Drosophila melanogaster: one gene and its partners. The protein of the gene in region 2 interacts with the protein of the main gene of each other region in a pairwise test. Each region holds a gene or a part of one and is shown on either strand. Other genes may lie near its edges. The genes, in order: Suv3, CG11523, CG6428 and mtgo.

The links.
Region 1: the proteins of CG11523 (region 2) and Suv3 interact in a two-hybrid assay, tested with the Drosophila melanogaster proteins (one large-scale study listed by BioGRID).
Region 3: the proteins of CG11523 (region 2) and CG6428 interact in a two-hybrid assay, tested with the Drosophila melanogaster proteins (one large-scale study listed by BioGRID).
Region 4: the proteins of CG11523 (region 2) and mtgo interact in a two-hybrid assay, tested with the Drosophila melanogaster proteins (one large-scale study listed by BioGRID).

The regions. Positions count from the first base shown.
Region 1 is NT_033777.3:4,309,604-4,315,940, forward strand, and holds Suv3 (Suv3 helicase), read left to right. Parts: upstream 1-1,951; 5' UTR 1,952-2,061; coding exon 2,062-2,371; intron 2,372-2,426; coding exon 2,427-2,930; intron 2,931-2,993; coding exon 2,994-3,303; intron 3,304-3,357; coding exon 3,358-3,492; intron 3,493-3,554; coding exon 3,555-4,184; intron 4,185-4,238; coding exon 4,239-4,641; 3' UTR 4,642-5,795; downstream 5,796-6,337. Other genes in the region: MP1 (melanization protease 1), read left to right, coding at 1-16; Vps24 (vacuolar protein sorting 24), read right to left, coding at 370-755, 811-1,051, 1,184-1,228. UniProt on the Drosophila melanogaster protein: Major helicase player in mitochondrial RNA metabolism and maintenance. Likely component of the mitochondrial degradosome (mtEXO) complex, that degrades 3' overhang double-stranded RNA with a 3'-to-5' directionality in an ATP-dependent manner.
Region 2 is NT_037436.4:22,265,306-22,268,549, reverse strand, and holds CG11523 (uncharacterized protein), read left to right. Parts: upstream 1-1,870; 5' UTR 1,871-1,995; coding exon 1,996-2,472; 3' UTR 2,473-2,704; downstream 2,705-3,244. Other genes in the region: Csp (cysteine string protein), read right to left, coding at 763-797; Ddx1 (Dead-box-1), read right to left, coding at 2,705-3,150, 3,223-3,244.
Region 3 is NC_004354.4:3,964,881-3,970,333, forward strand, and holds CG6428 (uncharacterized protein), read right to left. Parts: upstream 3,776-5,453; 5' UTR 3,358-3,775; coding exon 3,150-3,357; intron 2,753-3,149; coding exon 2,517-2,752; intron 2,458-2,516; coding exon 1,708-2,457; intron 1,642-1,707; coding exon 940-1,641; 3' UTR 555-939; downstream 1-554. Other genes in the region: CG6414 (uncharacterized protein), read right to left, coding at 4,202-4,409, 4,471-4,763, 4,850-5,197.
Region 4 is NT_033779.5:16,543,155-16,548,029, reverse strand, and holds the start of mtgo (miles to go), read right to left. Parts: upstream 3,015-4,875; 5' UTR 2,592-3,014; intron 1-2,591. Other genes in the region: CG31816 (uncharacterized protein), read right to left, coding at 4,855-4,875.

The DNA of each region.
Region 1 (6,337 bases), on a different chromosome or scaffold from region 2:
CAACGTTAGGGCTTAATCTTAAATGACGAAAATTAACATTCTTAGGGATTGATCGTAAATCGTGCAGATTACCATTGTAAAATGGGACATGCCACAGTAAATATCGATTTTTAATGAAAGGTAGATTTTACAATAAATTAAGTTATCTCGTGTAGATTCAACGGTAAAACGCGCAGAGTTCAACACTTCTTGATCTGGTGTACTGTACACTTATAATATAAAAACTCAATTCAAGTTTCTGGAGATTATTTTGGTTTCTACAATCAAATGACGGCGTGGGGGTTGCCGTTTATGATTTTGATAAGGTCTGCCAGTCAAAATCACTTGCCTTTAATTTCAAATCTAAATAAAATACCCATAGCAGTTGTTTTAAGATCGCAGCGAGGCCAGGCGGCTTTGCATCTCTTGCAGTTCCTCACCCTCCTCATCGTCCTGCTCAGCCTCGACGCGCGCAGCAGACGCAGACGCCTTGTCCGCCGGTGTAGCCTCTGGAGGCAGGGGAGCTTCCCCGAGCTTGCCATCTGTGATCTCCCACAAAACCTTGTCCACCTCCTTGCTTGCCTCCTCCTCCAGCTCCTCGGACTCCTCCAGCGAGTCCATGGTCTCGTCTAGCATCTCCTCAATAATGCCGGCCTTCATCATTTCCTTTGACATGTCGCGCATGATGCCTGCAAGCTCTGGATAGCGCACCAGGCTCTGCATAGCTTGCAAGACCTCTGTAGACTTTTGCAGAGATCCAGCTACACGCAAGGTGGCTGCAAGGAGGATTCGATAATCAGGTCGTATCAAACAAGCGAAGAGTTCACTCACATAGCTGATTTTTCATCTGCATCTGAATGGAGTTGAGGTGCGCCTTCGACGTATATATGCGGTTGATGGCCTTTCGCGCATTCACAATCTCCTTGGCAAGAATGACGCAGGTGTCGCGGTCATTTTTCTGTGCTGCCTGTTTCAGCGAGCGTTTTACTTTCTCTTCCTCGCGCTGGATACTTCGGATCTGGCGATCCAGCTGGTTGCCCTCTTTCCGTATCTTATGCGTCCACTCCTGCACCTAATGGGAATTTACATTTCAAAACAATATTCATAACGCACAATGGACAGATGGGGAAAGGTCTAATAAAATCAATCCAACTGGAATGACATCATTCCCAAAAAAATCACTGCCACGCCTCTGCGTCGTTACCTGCTCTTTGGGATCTTTACTGGGAGTTCTGCCGAATAAGCCCATGGCACTAACTGTTATGATAATTGTCTGGAATTGTTATTAAAATTCTTTTTTTGTTTAAACAAACAAGTGAGTCATTTTATTTTGATTCTGACAAACAAACACAGCGTTGCCAATATATATGACTTCTTGTTAGCATAGCCAATCATCGATAGATCGATATATTTAAAGAGTTTTTATTATTAAGTTTTAAAATTGCTTATAAGGACATTAACATTTAATCTACCGATTATTAAATAAATTTTATTATTTGCGTATGCTGGCTTAGAATACGTAATTGTTTTTCATTTTATCGATTTTATGAAAATATTTTTAAAATATTCCATATATAAAGCGAGACTGTATTGCGAAAAAATGCAATGCCAAATACCGATACTACATTTTTTAACGACTATTGTGGAATCAATTTTCATTTTTTCATTTTTATTTATAAATATTTTGCGATTGCCTAGGAACAACATATTTTATTTGCTTTTTATTGTAAATGCATATATGTTCTCAAATATCCTATTTTATATCCGTCGTAATACAATTAAATGTTTTAATACTTTTTTAAAATATTTTTTTAGTATAAATTAAATTCCACAATCGTTTTTCTGATGTGTTTTCTAAAACTAATTTTTTAATAATTTTTCAAAAGAATTCCCCGCATACGTAGCATAAAAACCATCGATATGGCAATGCTATTCTGTAAGAGCATTGTCAACCCAACAACCAGATGTGCGTCAGCTGATTGTACTTCTCTGTTATATCAGAGATAGGAACGTGAGTACGGAGATTCATTTTGCGGGAATTGGTGAATAAAAACCACGCGTGTTCCACTAAAGTGGACAACCATGCAAAACTGCAGGCGCTGCATCAGCCTAACGGGCCTTTTGCGGATGACACTCTACCTGCGTCCGTCCTTTTCAATTGATTTGTCCCTGCGCCGACTGCATCGTGCGGCCTTTTTATTTTCTCGAAAAAAACCGGAGACGAACTTGTCCACGTTGTTCAAGCCAGTACAGGTGCACGCTTATGTGGATTCAGAGGACGTAGGTTCCGAGCTGTCGGGCAAACTGGAAAAGGCTGAGCTGCTGAAGATTCTTAATAAGTTCACCCAACGTCGCGAAATCAAGTCACTATGCAACGAAAACGGACTGGACGGTACGTATGCACCTGTTTCCTATGGTCCCTCGTCTTACTTTGCATCCGTTACAAGACTACCTACAGCAACAGGCCTTTGGCTCATTCCGAAGATTTTGCATCGAGGCAGAAAACCTTCCAGTAGATCTGCACATAACCTTTAGCGATATAACACAGGGAGCGGGTCATATCGATGACATCTTCCCGTACTTCCTACGACACGCAAAGACAGTATTCCCGCACCTGGACTGCATGGACGACCTGAAAAAGATTTCCGACCTGAGGCAGCCTGCCAACTGGTATAGCAACGCTCGCGCCATCACCCGAAAGATTGTTTTTCATGCCGGACCCACAAACTCCGGTAAGACTTACCATGCCATGGAGAGATACCTGAGTGCGAAGACTGGGGTCTATTGCGGGCCACTAAAGCTTCTAGCCACTGAGGTGTACAACAAGGCCAATGAACGTGGCACTCCCTGCGATCTGGTCACAGGCGAGGAGCGCAAATTCGGCATCAGCGAAAGTTTGCCAGCCAATCACGTCGCGTGCACTGTGGAAATGACCTCGGTGAATACTCCATGTAAGCAAGTCCAGTTGTTTCCCTGCTTCGCTGAGTTATAATGTGCTGATTTTTCTGTTTCAGATGAGGTGGCTGTAATCGATGAAATACAACAGATCCGCGACCCCCAGCGGGGATGGGCTTGGACGCGTGCCTTCCTTGGACTGATCGCGGATGAAGTGCATGTTTGTGGTGAGCCAGGCGCATTGGACCTCCTGCAAAAAATTTGCGAAACCACTGGCGAAACTGTTGAAGTACGGCTGTACGATCGGCTTACGGAGCTGACTGTCGAAAATACCGCTTTAGGATCATTGGACAATATAGTTCCTGGCGACTGCATTGTGTGCTTCAGCAAACATGATATTTATACGGTTTCACGAGAAATCGAAGCACGGTCAGTTTTGTTAAGTCATTATTTTCAACTGATCCCTAAAACTATTTTTTTTAGAGGGAAGGAGGTAGCTGTGATATATGGGGGCCTACCCCCAGGTACCAAGCTAGCCCAGGCTGCTAAGTTTAATGATCCCGCCAATAGCTGCAAGGTAATGGTGGCGACTGACGCCATCGGTATGGGCTTGAACCTGTAAGTAAAATATTCTATATATGTGGCTTGCCAAAATATAATGCCCGCGAATGTACTTGCAGGAGCATTCGTCGAATCATATTTTACTCACTGATCAAGCCGTCGATGAATGAGCGAGGCGAGCGCGAAATCGACACAATATCGGTTTCGTCCGCACTTCAGATTGCGGGAAGAGCGGGCCGGTTCCGAACTCAGTGGGAGCACGGATATGTAACTGCCTTCAAGTCCGAGGATTTGCAAACCCTACAGCGGATATTGGCTCGGACACCTGAGCCGATAAAGCAGGCGGGCTTGCATCCTACGGCCGATCAGATTGAGCTTTACGCCTACCACCTGCCAAGCTCGTCTTTGAGCAACCTAATGGACATATTCGTGAATCTGTGCACTGTCGATGATTCTCTATACTTTATGTGCAACATTGAAGACTTTAAGTTCTTAGCCGAAATGATACAACATGTTGCTCTGCCTTTGCGGGCTCGCTATGTATTCTGCTGTGCACCTATTAATCGAAAGATGCCCTTTGTTTGCTCAATGTTCCTTAAGGTAGCACGGCAATACAGCCGCAACGAGCCTATTACCTTTGATTTTATAAAAAAAAACTGTGGCTGGCCATTCAAGCTACCCAAGACGATATTGGACCTGGTCCATCTTGAGGCCGTCTTTGACGTGATGGATCTGTATCTTTGGCTAAGGCAAGTCTCGCACAAGTGCGCTTCAGAAAAAATCTAATCAAACTTGTTTTGCAGCTATCGGTTCATGGATCTCTTCCCTGAAGCGGCCTACGTGCGAGATGCCCAGAAGGAACTGGACGAAATTATACAGCAGGGCGTTTTTCAAATAACTCGCTTGCTTAAAAATACCGAGGCGAGTCAGGACGGAGAAACATCAAACTATGCAATCCGCCGAATAACGCACGTGAAGGAGCCTCGTCTACCCAGCTTGTCGCGTGGCCGTCTCACCGAAAGGTTACTTGCACAGGGTCTTCTTACCCCAGGCATGCTTAGCGAGCTACGCAAGGAATGGGACGCCCAGCAACTTGGCAAATCCAATTCGCAATCTAATGAAAATTCGGAACCAGTGGTGAATAGTGACGACGAGGATAATTACTCAGGGATCGGGCGAAAGACAAGGAAAAAACGCAGAAAATGAACGTGCCAGCTCAGGATTAGTTAGAATACGAAATAAGTAGGTAAGAAATGGATTTTTATATAATATACTTTTATTTTAAGTGGCAATTAAGTTATATTAAAATTATTTAGTTGATAATTAACAATGGCAATTTAATTGTTTAAATTTAAAAGTTTTATTATGTTATCTCTGTCAGAAAAAGAAAATGAATTTGTTTTTTTTTTTTTTTTTGCAATTTATGGAGGGACGCAGAGTCTGAACAAAGACACTAGAATTATTAGACACTAGAGTTATTCTAGTGTCTTTGGTCTGAAACACTTGACAAAAATGAACTTTGTGTCAAGGCTAACAGCCGTTGCACTGTTGAATTTAGAAATATGTAATACCGACATTAACGATTTCGATTAGTTAGTTAAATTTATCCTCGCTGTCCTTCCCAAATGAAGTTATAGACTTAGCTTATATATGGCCTTTGCAGTAATAAGGAGCACCAATTCATTCGAATTGCGGTTATAAAATATTCGACACTTAAAACATACAGATTTTTAAAAGATATAAATACTCTGAATATGATTCAACATACAAATTAATATTACGCTGGATGCGCATGGCAACACCTTAATAGTTTTGCTTTTTTAGGTTTCGATTTAATTTGAGTTTAAAAAACAATTTCTTTAAATATTTATTAAAGCTTTAAGGTTTCTCTTTTTATAAGTTTAACTTATATCATTCTTGCGCTCTAATGCAAAACCAAAGTACTTTCATTTCATTGACCATTGCAAAATCCAGCCACAACGACCGTCAACGATAGTCAGATACTTTAGCGGAGCAGCTAAATACATATGTGCTCTTTAGTCCGATCCCTAAATCGAAATAAAGCTCTAATAAAATCCATCTTCTCGCCTGGCACGCGAATCGGCATGCTTGCATTCACAGATGTCCTAGTATTTTTACCAACATTTTTTCCAACTTATCTTCGAATGTAGAATATGTATTTGTGCGTTCGAATTCTAAGGTACCGATACTTTTGTATTTCTTTGAATATCAAAACTGGAACATGCGCATGGCTCTTGATCAAAAAACCAAGAGTTACCTATGTACGTAGGTTTGTTAAGGTATGTAAGTTGCAGGTTTGATGTATTGTATGTACGTATGCATTGGCTACAATTGTTCCTATGTGTTTTCGGTTTTCATATTTGGGTAATAAAAAAGTGCTAGTCTCAACAGACTTTGGGCATCTTATGCCGGGCTTAATATTTAAATATAAGATGCAGAAAGGTAAATTACAAAAATTCGTCACTCATCCGTAGCTTGCACAGATGTACAAATGTACACTCAAAATCTTAAATACGCTCTATTCGGACATCTGATATTTCATATAGTATTCTTTATCACAAACAATCATAAAATTCAAATTTCGAGTAGTTATACATATAAGTACTGGTATGTACTTTTCGTGTATGTACTTGCGTATAAAATTTGAGTATTCTGGTTATTCTTGTTCGCTTTCATATTTCATATTTCCTACATTTTATAAACAAAATGTGTGCCAAATTGATTCCAAATTACAAATATTTTATGGCCCAGTCTAGGCTAGATTGTTCGGATGACCCTACCTCTTGGTCGGTCTCATCCTGAGCCAAGCACTTGACGACAGCAGTCGTCATTTGGCATCGACCTTGTAAAAACAAATCACAAACACAGACCTCTGCTTTAG
Region 2 (3,244 bases):
GTTATTGGATCTGTAGGTCTGTTGTTATCGCGCACTTATGCCGGAATCGGTATGTGTTGCACGAAGACCCAAACATTGAACAATTTAAATAGAACAATATTTATAAAATGAAGTATTCGACTCATTTTTTCTCTATTAAACAATTGAAATCGTGCGATTTGCGGGCAAAAGAGGTGTGGCCAACCGAGAAGAATGCAAGAGGAAGAGGAGAAAGGAAGAGGAAATTCTCATACTGTGTAGTTATAATGTGTAATTCTAATAATGGTCTGTATGTATTACATAGCACATATCTGAATGATATCGGCTCGAGTCTTGATCGATGATGTGCGTAGCCTTTTTTCTACCTTTTACATTTTCCTGCCTAATGCAACATAAGTTGAAACTATGCCACTAAGATTTTAACTAACGATTATTGAAATCAAATAAAAATCGAATTCCGTCAAATGGCCAAATTTGTCCTTGGCCTTGCCCAGGACGAATTCGCTTGTCCGAAATCAAACTCCAGCCGCAGCTGCCCTCCCCTTCCCACTACCGGAGCCCATTATTACCCCTGACCCGGTTCCTTGTTTATCCCGACGTGGAAAGGAAAGTGCCTGCTGGCTCGAGAAAACTTCTGCCGCGAAAAATCAATTTCGCGCCGACCGCGCTGCCTGCGCGCAGCTGCTACTCACACTCGCGCACGGGCTGAGTGTGTGTACTCTGCCGACGGCGCGTGTGTGTGCGCCGTGGAGGAAAAATGAAGGAGCACTACAAAATACTTACGACAGTTTTCTCTTGTCCATGCCAGGTGCGCTCATCCTGATGCCTGTGTCACTTTGACTGCGAACGGGTAACTTGCACTAGCGATCGCTGTCACACGCAGTGAAAGTCTGTGCCTGCCAAGAACCACAATCTGTGCGTGTACTCTTATAATTGCAGTTTTTGACGTCCGTACCGATGCCTCGATTCTTATTTTTTTCGCAACGAAATTAGAGATGGAACTGAACCGATGTTCTATCTTATCGGTTTACCTGCCGACATCAATGATTTCCAGCTCTGGACTAACACGCCATCTATCGCAACATTAATAGCTGCTGTTACGGGACTCACTGTAAGAAATCGCATCGAAAGTGTGCACCAGAGAACTGCAGCAAGCCACTGGCACTCCAAGTGCACCCGCTAAACACTGTTGTATCTAGGCAGCCGGGTGTTTTTTGACACTCTACTTGCGGGAATAAAAAATATCCGACAGTTTTTTATTACGAGCGCAATAACCTTTTCTGGTGAGCGACTCACAAGCAACGATCGGCCGCAGGTCATTTTCTGTATGCATAAAATTTGTATGGGCGGAAGCGAGATTGTCTAAGAAATGAAGGGTGAAAGGGAACACCCAAGGAAAAGGTCGTGCACGTGTTTTTTTTTTTTTGATGCAACCCATTTCGCAGAATATTTTTTTATTAATATTTTTTTATTTAAAAATTAAATTAAGTTTTTTAATTATACAATTACAAAGTTAAATAAGGGAAGCATATATTAAGAACTAATAATAAAATAAAAAAAATTGTCTATTTCGTTTTTTTTTAAATTATTTAATTAAATTAAAATTATTTACAGTTTTGTAAAAAGAATGTAAAAAAGAGGCTATATACAAATTTTGGACTTAATCCATAATCTATACTATGCACCCCTCCATTCCAATTTCAATTATTTAGGAGTAATTTATACTTTCGATACGACAGCAACCGTTTTATATCGGTACGTCTTACGAACTTCTATTAAACCAAAAACTAAGCTAAATTGCATGTAAAATCATTAATAACGATTATATTCAGTTTGGCCGGAACGCCCTGCTCCGCTTCATCGGTCAAAATGTACTAACGCGTGGCACACGCCACACAGCTGCTGTGACACATATGGAGTAGAGTGGAACGACATGTTGCGCCTGTAAAAGGGAATCAGATCGACTGGGATTCAATTAAAAGGCGAGCCGCAGAGCTCCGAAGCGATTCTGTTAGGATGGGCGAACCGAAAGCCACCGCAGACCCTGGGGAGGAGCAGGCCTTCAACTGCGAGGACGAAGCCAACGCCATAATTAACGATGTTAAGGCTCACGTCGCTGAGATTTGCATCTCATCCAAACTGGCAAGCGATGCCACGCAAATTTACCTGAACATCCGGACTATCGAGAGCGCCACTTGCTGCGTTCAGGTGAGCAGTCGTGGCTTCAAGATCGTCTCCTCCCAGTACGACACCATAGACGAGGACAGCCGGATCTCTGCACTGCTTCGCAACGGACAAGAGCAAGGCGACGACGAGGAGGAGGAGATATTTGAAACGCCGTACGCGCTGCTGGACAAGATCAGCCCCCGCTACGTCGAGTCGTTCGGCAACCAGCTGTGCCAGCAGCTTAGAGCGCTGCAACAGATGCGAACCGAGTTCAACGAGGAGGACGAGGAGGAGGAGGAGGAGGCGGAGGAGGAGGAGAAGAAGTGACGGTAACCGGACTCCAGCTTTCAAACGAGGCTGTTTACTCTTTAGACAGACGATTTTAATGTTAGTTTAATTAAATGTTTATTTTTAATAGCAGAGCTTGAGCTCCGACTTCCTACATATACAAAATTGTGTGTTTGTGCCGCAAAAGTATTTCCGCGTGAGTTGGTCTTGCACTTCTCAATTCACCACATCCTTTCCTTGCATAGCAAACAAATGTCGCTCCAGATCCGCGTTAGACCTTAAGACGTTTCAAGAATAAAGATTGTGATTGCAACTCTAGCTCCGTCAGTTTGCGTACAGTTGGCACCAGCTGCTCGACGTGGTCTTCGTAGCCGCTGCCAGTTCTTAAATTCTTTTGACCGTACACGACCTTGCCGTCGAAGTCATTAACTGGCACATCCATGGTCTTGTCCACCTGCTGGATGGTGATGTTCAAGTGGTCCTCAACTTCGGCCAGTAGGTTTGGTTCGTTGTACCAGATGCAGCATCCTCGGACTTCGGTTAAGTTTGTGTTGTTGCAGCTACGGCCGCGCGACTTGCACCACTCGCCGTGGTACCAAACCTTCTCCGGCACTGTTGCCACCAAACTAATGGCCAACCCCATGCGTTCCGCCCTGCCCACACGTCCGATGCGATGAACGTAATTGGTCTTGTCATCGGGCAGCGTCACATTTATCACTGAGGATAAGGAAGTAAATTATTTGGAAAATGGTTTAACGACGGTTATTGTTTCAAAATTTGAGAACTTACTAAACGGCAGCCCCGTAATGTC
Region 3 (5,453 bases), on a different chromosome or scaffold from region 2:
ATGCGGACTGGCTATCTGAAGGACCGATTATATATCCACGGTGGCTGCGCAGCGCTAGCTATCGACATTGACTGCAACGAGAGAGGGTTTACCATATAGCTAACATATATCATCCGCTTCCGATCGGCTAGAATTGTCTTTAGCTTTGAATTTGCGTTTCTTGTTGTTCTTTTTATTTTATGGAATTCGTGGCACTGACGTGTGCACCTCTCTATAGATGTGTGCGTGTGTGTGCGGCTGTGTGTGTGCGAGTGGGGCTGTGTGTGTGTTTTGTTTGCTGTTTTTCCAGCGCTTGTGTCGATTTTCGCCTGGTTTCTGAGTTACAAGCCACTAAGCACTAGATTGCAACGTAAGAGCTTTCTTATGTGCACGCTGACAGATGTATATTTACCAATTCTAATTAATGCCAGCGTAAAAACAATTCGATACCAGGGCTGCGCAACAACTGAATAGGGTCACAAAGCCCTGGTAAGTTATCGAATGACAGATGGCTCGATAGCACTTGCGCTCGTAATCAATCAATCGATTACAAACTAATTCAAAAATTTTGCATTAATTTCAAATTGATTTTATTTATTTTCATACAACAAATTATACTAGTTTGTGTATATAACTTGTTATACAACCGTTTAATATGTCTGATGCTTAATTTTAGACATGATTGGTTAATTTTTGGTTTTGGCTAATAATATTATTGCATACAATGGATACATTAGTAAATAAGGACTACTTAAAAACAGGTCAGGGATTCGACACTTAATAATAAAAACTACCACGACAACATCGTTAATATGCGAGTTATGCAAAACTGATAATAAGGAACCATTAGACTAGATGCAACACTTAAGTACAAAAGAAATAACCCTAGCCTCCAGTGTTTGTTTTTTTCTTCATGCTGCAGGAACAAGGAACGAGGTATGTATGGTTCGGAAGAGATTTCTATGATTTTAGGACCTCCATAACCGCTGCGTGTCCGCCGCGCTCCGCATAATCCATGGCGGTCAGGCCGAGCATGTCCTTCTCGTTCGGATTCTCGAAATAGGGCAGGACGTATTGCACCACCTCCGGAAATCCGTGCAGTGCTGCCACGTGCAAGGCCGTCCTGCCCGAAGGATCCGACTGGGCAAGATCGGCACCGGCGTATTGATAGGACTTCAATCTGATCATCGATCCCCTAGCAGCGGCCGCGCACAATTGCTCGCCCACCGCTCGCGAAGAGCCCGTCAAATGAGCACCACAGTTGATGAGCAACTGGATGATCTCGTGGCTATCGGTGGCGACAGCCTCCAGAAGTGGAGTGCGGTCATACCGATCACGCACGTGCACGGACACCCCGTTCTGCAGTAGGTACTTAACGATCTCCACGTTTCCCAGCTGACAAGCCAAGTGTAGGGCCGTTCGCTGGTCATGATTTGTGCCCGACAAGTCGGCGCCATAGGCTTTCAAGTTGTTGATCTTCTTGGGATCACCTTCGGCCACAGCGGCGTTGATCATGGCCGGAAAGAGCGTTTCGCCCAGCTGATCCAGTTCTTGGGGCGAGGACAAGTGCAGAGACCGTGCCACTGCGTCCACCAAGTCGTAGTCCTCCATTTTGGGAGCCTTTAAGGAGGTCAGTTCGCCCCTCAGGCTTGACTGCATCATCTATGAAATGCACACATTGTGGATTATCCATATTTATGTATGTATTGAATTATAGTCGAAACTTACCTGCTTCTTCATATCGAGTGACCACTCCTCCTTGCCGATGACATAGGCCAGCTTGGCCAGCGCCGCCTCGGGCGTCATATCGAAACCGGGAATTACACCGACATCGCAGAGCACCTTGCCCGTATCGTAGATCTCCGCCACTGTGCCATTGGGACACTGTGTACAATTGATGATGATAACGCCTCGTTCACCAGCCGCACGCAGTTCATCGATGAGATCTTTTCGGTTCGATGGTATGTTTCCAGATCCGAAGGATTGCAGGACAACGCCGCGAATCGGTGGCGCCAGGAAAGCCCGGAATGTGGAGTGCGAAATGCTCGGAAAGATTCGCAGCAAGCCGACGTTCTCGTCGAGATTCAAGTGTACGCAAAACCTTTCAATAGTGCATGGCCGGAATATCAGGCGGTAGTCGACGTTCACATCAATGCCGATCCTGGCCAGTGGTGGAACATTCGGTGAGTCGAACGCGTCTAAGGCATTCGAACTGACCTTCACCGTCCGATTGCCGCGCATCAACTTATGGCCAAAGAAGATGCAAACCTCCGGAATGATGTAGTTACCGGCTATGATCAAGGCTGACGTAAAATTGTCCTTGCCATCGGTTCGCGTCTCAAAGATGGGTATTTGGGAGCCCGTGATGATCACCGTCTTGCCCAAATTTTCCAACATGAAAGACAATGCAGATGCGGTGTAGGAAAGCGTGTCGGTGCCATGGAGCACCACAAAGCCATCGAAGAACTCGTACGATTGCTAGACAATAATTTGGAAAGGATTAATATTACCTTTCATATATATATATATGTATGTACCTGAATATCGCTGGCGATTCGCGCCCAATCGTTCATCGTCATATTGCTGCTGTCCAGCAGCGGTGTATATTCCGAGATCTGGTAGATAACCCGGCGATCTACGCCCTGCACAATGGGCAGCACCAGTGGAGCCATCGATGCAGATGCTCCAAAGCGGCGCAGCGCGTACTCCTCATCGTGGATGTTTGGATATTTGCGGATGCTGCGCACCAGGGCATTGGGAATGGGAGCTAACACTGCGATAATTATAGAATATTAATATTGATAGTCACAAACTCCGTGACAAATTAGTTTCCTAATCAAGATGATGATTTATGGTCACGCTTCGTGTGTCAAATGTTTACTAAAATACCTAATTAGACCACTCAATAAATAGCAAGCAAATAGTCAATATTTAAATAGAAGCATCAACAATCTGTTGACTGCCAATTGATTTGTTTTGTTTACATTCATACCAACAATTTCAACTTTCATACATATTATTCGAATAAAATGTTTTCAAGTGCATTGCTCTTATCATATCTGGCCATTTTCTAAGACTCCCCTTGTTAGTAAAAGTGGGATCTTATCTACATGGACAGATTCGGGCAATCCCAATGAATCCTCGTATTCGTGACATTCTGGGCTGCTTACCATTCCGCTCGTTGCGCACCATGCCGATGGTGCCGCCAGTGTAGATGACCTTCACCCGGGCCTCTTTGACATCCTGGGCCATGAGTTTTCCATCACTTTTATTCCTGCGGATCGTGGGACTCGGCAGAGTGGGCGATGCCGGCGGCATGCTTTTGTCCAGCGAGGCCAGCCTCTCGTGACCATTGGTCTTCAGGACGGGAATATCCATAATATAGAGTAAAGAGTATAGAGGATGATGGACTGCGGAGCGCCGGTTGCGAAGCTGTGTGCCTTATCACTGGCTGCTCAGATGGTGTCGTTCCGACGCGTAAACAGCAAATCCATTAACAGCCCGTGCCGTTGATGATTATTTGGCCAACTCGTTATCGTGCTAATCCGGATCGGATCCGAAGTAGTGAAATAATAATTCGCGGGGGGACGCCGAGATAGCACGTGGTATTGGGACTCTATCGCAGAGGAAATTGAAACGAAAAGCCCAAATCACGGCGGCGCAATCACTTATATATAGATAACCGCACCAGACTTTGGCCCACGACGTACATGACTAATCTAATGAAATTCAAATGAAATTCCGCTGATTGCAATATTTTGGTCATAAATAAACACCCAATCAGCTGTGCGACTATCGATAGTTCGCAGTGCCATAATATCAATTCCAATTAGACTTTATTTTGTCTAACTTATAACAAAATTCTTTTTATTTTTCTAGCCTTTCTAAAACTTTTCTATATATATATATATATATATATATTTTTTTTATTGCCAAAGCTCTATTATTTTCTCAATTGTTTTGTTTACACATACTTAACTTTTTACGTCGATGCGGCAACGCTGAGCCATCAGTGCCAAAATACCCAACACTGGTTAACTGCTCAATACCACAGGTCTGGCAGCGCAAAAGCTTGTGCCCGTCTGGCAGCTCCAAAATCCCGTTAAGTTGGCGGCAAATGCGCAAAAAATTTAAGTACAGTAAAATTTATAATTTGTGGTGAAATACAACAATTGAATGAGACAAAATGTGAATTGAATTTGAACAACGACTTGATGGACGACTACAGCTCGTTGTGGGCGTGACTGGCGGGCAAATGGGGCTGCAGGTCCCGCCAAAAGTCGACCCGGTGCTGCATAAGCTCGTTTTCAAGTCGAAAAATGGATGCGGAGTCCTCCATTTTGGTGCCCAGTCGAGCGAATTCCACTGGATAACTAGAGGCGGGACTCCAGTTCGGCAGATGAAAGCTAACATTCGTGGGATTTGGATTGCTGTGGAGAAATTATCATTAGTTTCGATTAAAAAAAAGAGTTATATTTAAATGGCATATACCCGGTCTTCGCAAAGCTAACCCACAGATGGAGCATTAATTCGCGGAGTTCCAGATCCTTTTGCGTCGGCACCGCACTCACAAATAACTCCCGGCCAATGGGGAACAAGTACTGGAGCTCCTCGGCATGGCACGCTCCATAGAACTCGTTTCGGCCGCCCTTGAAAATCTCCGTAAAACTGGCAGCTCCCTTGTGATCGAATAGGTATACATAGGTGGGGGCCACGTCCTCTTGGGACATGCGGAGGCGCAAGTACTCATCGATTCCGGCCACAAACCATCCATCCGAGATCAGCTAAAATGGAGTAAGGAGTTTGTACACAGATGCTGATTGGATTAATGAACTCTTAATTCATCTAGATTGGCGATCCGTCCACTCACGTCGGTCAGGTTCTGGTGGTTGGCCTTGTCGTAATCGTGGCCCGACTTGAAGTAGAAGCTTTCGATGCGCTGCGTAATCGTTTGCCGCACGGAATCGTCATGATGATCGTAGTTGAGCACGACGGGCAGGACCTGCTCAAACTGAGACTTAAACTCGGCCAACAGCTGGGGAAGATTGAGCAGGGCGGCGGTCTTCAGGAGACCTTCCTCGGCGGTGGCGCCCACCATGAGTGGAAGTTGCAGTCCATGTGGCTTGGCCGCCTGGCGAGGTGCCACTGTGAGGAAGGCGCCATCGTGCTCCGGTTCGACCACGGGCGGAAATGGTATCATCGGATCAAAGTCCCAGACCTGCAATACAAAAGAAAGCTAAAGGTAAAGCTTGACCTTCCCTTCACCATATTTGTTTAATAACAGCTGCATTGTACTCATTTTTGGTCAATACCAGCTCTACCTTTTTTCAACAAAAGTCTTGCTGGTGACACTCTCCGTTTTGTATATCAATTGTAACAAAAGTAATTTACATAAGTGGCGATTTGGAGAGCCTTCATTGAAATTGGTTATAAGGCTACGTCTAGCTTTGAATGTAAATTGCATAATTGTACTA
Region 4 (4,875 bases), on a different chromosome or scaffold from region 2:
AATTATTTGTGTGTGCCGATGTGCGGATATACAAATGTGTGCCTTTATAAGTGTGCTTTTATCAGGGTGCGTCAATCTAAGCCAAGTTCTGAATTTACGAAAGTCTTGAAATGCCAAGTATATTCTTATAAAGGTTTAAGCGCTAAAAGGAAATCAACAGTCCGCAAAAATAGCTGATCTTAATATTTCTTCTATTAAAAAAAAAGCACTTAATTTTAGTTCAGATCTTTACTTAGTTTAAGTCCTATATGCATGAACAAGTTTAATCAATATTGAAGTTTTTTATATTTAGCTTCGAACAAATTGCTCCACCCTAATGCTCCTGTATCCTTGTTCGCGATGAGCGTATACCCAGACAACGAAATGTCACAGCAGCCTACTTATGCTTTTTTCGCATCGCGTTTTATCCCCAAATGTGTGTGCGATTTTTGGTTCAGCTTTTTGGCATATGGTCGCCGTGCCGGAAAAGTGGGAAACCGGTAAGGGGGCTGCTTTCCCATTTGCAGTTTGGCTGAAAAGCTGTTTCGCTTATTTCCCTCTTTTTTAGTCAACCGTTTCTAGATAAATATTTTGCAACACCGCATCGCATTTCCATGATTAGCAGATAAACATATGCCAAGTTGCAAACTTGGCGTGTGTGTTCGGAGTGTAGAAGTTTAGAGAATCCCTGGGTAGTGGGCGGTTATACACGCGACTTTAATTGAGCTTTCAAGAGGACTAAGTTAAACATACAAATGTTTGCTTAGGATGCAACAGCTGTTGGCTGTGAGTTAAAAATTGTTCGAAAAAAACCTCTTTGGAGAAGTGGAATATCTTAAAATATTTAAATTTAAAATTTGATTTAAAACAATAAATGACGTAAGGTTTTTAAATTATAGTATAAAAATACTAGATTAATCGAAAATTAATGAAGTTTTGTATACCGCATTGAAACTGTGTATCTAAAGCTTTTAACTATTTAATGCCCAAAATTGCCTAATAGCGGTTCAGTTTAAAATAAAAAAAAATTTAATTACCCGTTATTATCACAAAATATATTCCTCACTAACTAAAATCCTTTTATCTTTAACCCCACACCCATTGTCATTCCATTTGGTTGGAATGTAACGCCTGCCCTTAATTCAATTAACTTTAATGAACCAAATTATAATTGCAAATAAATTATCTTATTAAAGACGCAGAAAGTTCGCACTCTTGCCTTTTAGTAGCACTAAAACTCTGAAAACGGCGTCAAGGCCAATTAGAAAACTTTGTCCAAACATCTCACTACCAAGAAGGACGAAACTGAAACTTATCTTTTGGATCAGCAAGAGCCCATTTTCACCCAAAAAAACCCCGTGTGTCTGGGCGACAATCTAGCATATGCCAAAGTAAAAAGCTCACCAAAGTCAAACTCGATTAAAAATGCATAAATGCAATTAAACGCAAATGGAAATCGAACCAAACTCGCAAAAGCTTCAAGCGAAAACGCCTCGAGGTGGAAAAGCCAAAGAGATACACTTTCCAAGAATTCCACTTTTTTCACAGACATTTGTTTTTAAGCCTAGAAGTTTAAAAGTATTAATGGATTTGCAACACATACAACATTAAATACAAGTGATTATATAATAATTTTATAATTATATAATTAAATTTTTTATTTAAATTAATTTTTACTCAGAAACATTTGATAGTACGGTATATACCCATAATTTTATTCAGTGTATGAAAGCAAAAAATGTAAAAGATATATGTAAAGAGGCAGTGGGCGGTGGGAGGAGGCCAGATATCCAAAAGACGCGACAAGTGTCGGCCGAGCTTTGTTTGGCGCAAAGAGAGCAGCGCACTTCGAAGAGCAAAAAGCGCGAAGCCAAAAATCCAAAGACGACCATAGATAGTAAATTGCAAAGTTTATGCCGCCAAGTTCATGAAATTGTAATAGCTTCATACCACGGTTATGCTTCACCAAAGTGGTCATACAATTAAAAAAATTACGTACACCTAACTTTAATCCATTAAACTCGTACATTTATAATTATAATTTCTGATTTGGCGGAATTAATGAACTAAGTACATCGTGCATTCATTTTGCTATTGGGTCCACGCATGAGCTTTGTAACAGTAAAAGAAGCCCTGACCATGCAGTTGCGTCAATGGGTGCGAGGGAGAAGGGTGAGTGTGGGAGCAGGAGGTGGGCTTGGGTATTAGAGAGAGAGAGAGTGGGAGAGCGCGAGAGGCACTGGTTGAGTTGGTTTTGCTGACTGCACTTGTTTTGCCATCGTAGTTATTGTTTTTGTTGCTTGCAACGTTTTGCTGCCACTTGGCCGCAAAGGCAACAAAAACAAACACACACTAATACACGTGCGCGTTATTGCCAATTCACCCACATACACACAAACAACAGTTAGCCGCCGCTTGTGTGTGTGTGTACGCTAACATATTGAACGCATTTTTTCATATTTCTCAATGGAAAAGCCAACTCTAAACACCGTTAATATCATCCATATTAGTTAGTTGTCATTTGTGAGAGAAGAAAATGTGAAAAACATGTAAATTGCTGGGCAAAATAATGCAACATATGCTAGCACCACACTCTGATATTATCAACTTACTTTGCAAGTATTTGCCTTTGAATTTGGATTTGATTTTGCTTTTGTTTTCTATTTATTTATTTGTTGCTTTTTGGTTTTATTTCTTGCTGCACTCACTAACACAGAAACACACACGTACGCGCTAAACACGAAAAGCAGCCAATATATTTTATTCGTTTTGATTTTCACTGCTTGGAAATTTTCGCATTTCCATTTTCGAAATGCGTAACAACAAGTATTCTGTGGTTGAACAAACAACGATTTACGCGAATATAATAAAATAACGATAAACGGTTATTACGATGGTTTCCGCTGGCCAAAAACCTGCGACGAAATAGTCAACTGAGGGGAAAACAAGTAACAATTGTACCTGCCGAATTTGTTTTTAAACGCTTGCCAGCTTTTCTGATTTTCCGATGCGAACGCGCGCGCTGCGAAAAACATATTCGAAGCGAGTCGGAGAAGCCCCTCTATATAGATTCTCTCCGGCGCTTGAAAACAATTCGCATTGAGTGAGTTACGAAAAGCGGCTGATTCGGGCGCCAATTTGCTCCCACGAATTCTGCACGCTCTTACTCCAACGCATTGGAATGCTCCGCGCTCTTGAGCGCTTTCTGCACTGTTCGCTCGCTAACGGTAGTTCATGTGACGTTAACGTAAAGCTTGTTTCATTGCTTCATTATTGCAATGCAAAAATTTACATTATTTCTTCTAACTTACCCATTAACCGAATTAAATCTAATATCTAACATCAAATAAGTCGTTATCTAAATTATTGTTTTAATTTTTTATTTGACCTGGGCTTTTCTATCGAATTCTATGTAATTCAATGCAAAAATTGAAGTTGTTAGTATTTTTTCTTTGTGCATAAGAGTAAGCAATTGTTGCTTTCGTGCGCTCTCTCTTTTTCACTATCTTTTAACCCGTTCGTTTGCGTGGGTGCCAGGGAAATTTCCACCCACTGAAAGTCCTAAAATTGAGTTATTAAGTGAATCAAGGGCCAGCAAGGTTTTTGAGCATAGTTATTTGAATGTCCAGAAGATCAGCTTATTACCAAATGCATTTATTTGATTACTCTATCATGTGACACTACGTGTACAAAAATTATATGAATAAGATATTTACGTAATGAAGCCGAGTACGACTTAACAATATTTTAAACTTAAAGCTAAATATACATTTTATAATTTGAATAAGAATAGGATTGGGAAATTCATATTTAAGGACGGGCTTAATATATAATATAAAATATCCCTTTTGGCGTCGACTGCGCTGCATTTCCTCTGCCGTCGTTTTTGTTCCAAAAATCGCGTGGGAGAGTGAGTGAATAAAGGAAAGGTTGGAAGAGGGAGAGGGAGAGAGTGAGAGTGAGTAGGTGAGTCCAGATTGAGTTATTTTTCCAAGCCTGCAACCTGTATGAAATTATGGCTCAAGAGGCCAAAAGCTTTACGCGGTTGAAAATTGTTGCTTTTGCGACGCCGGCCGAAATGCAAACAGCTGTTTGCAGAATACAACAAATAATAAATAACTTGAACTTCAAAGCAAAACGGAAGGAAGATTTCAATATTTCATGGAAAAAAAAAGAAAGAAACTGGCTAACAACTTCATACATATATAAATTTTAGTATACGTAATATTATTTGAAATCTAGGCAATTTTGTATTATCAAAGGTCAATTGAACAATATACATAAGTGGGAGAATCGAAAAATGACTCGTAATATAAGTCTAGTCCTGCTAATCCGTTTTGCAATGGACACCACATTATTCAAGTCAATTTCTATAAAATATATAATAAAATGATAATTGAAATTCATTTTCTAAGCTACGTTATAGATTGTAAATCTTTTTGTATAATTTATTTTTCAAAATACCGTTAATCCTTTTAAATGAACCCGACTGGGAGGATACATTTCTGTTGAAATTCTTACGTATGTAAATACTTCAATGAAATTGTTAACAAAATCTCCGTATAACACTAGTACTTACAAAACTTTTACAAGAGCTTAAGGAAAGCGTTAGCATATAACCAAACCATTGCGGTAGGTGTCCACGCTAAAATGTAAATTAAATGTGAAAGCCGGAAATACAGTTTCAAGTCATTTCCGGAACTATTCTGGAATCCATTCTATCCAAGTTACAACATAATAAACTCCTTAAAGGGCTATACAAATATTTGGACTAACCAAGTAAAGTTGGGTATGAAAATATTTTATTTTAATAACTGTATATTCCCTTAAAAATGGAATAGGAATAATTTCGCTGTCCTCATTATTTTGTCGCTTCTATGCCCCAACTTTGCAGAA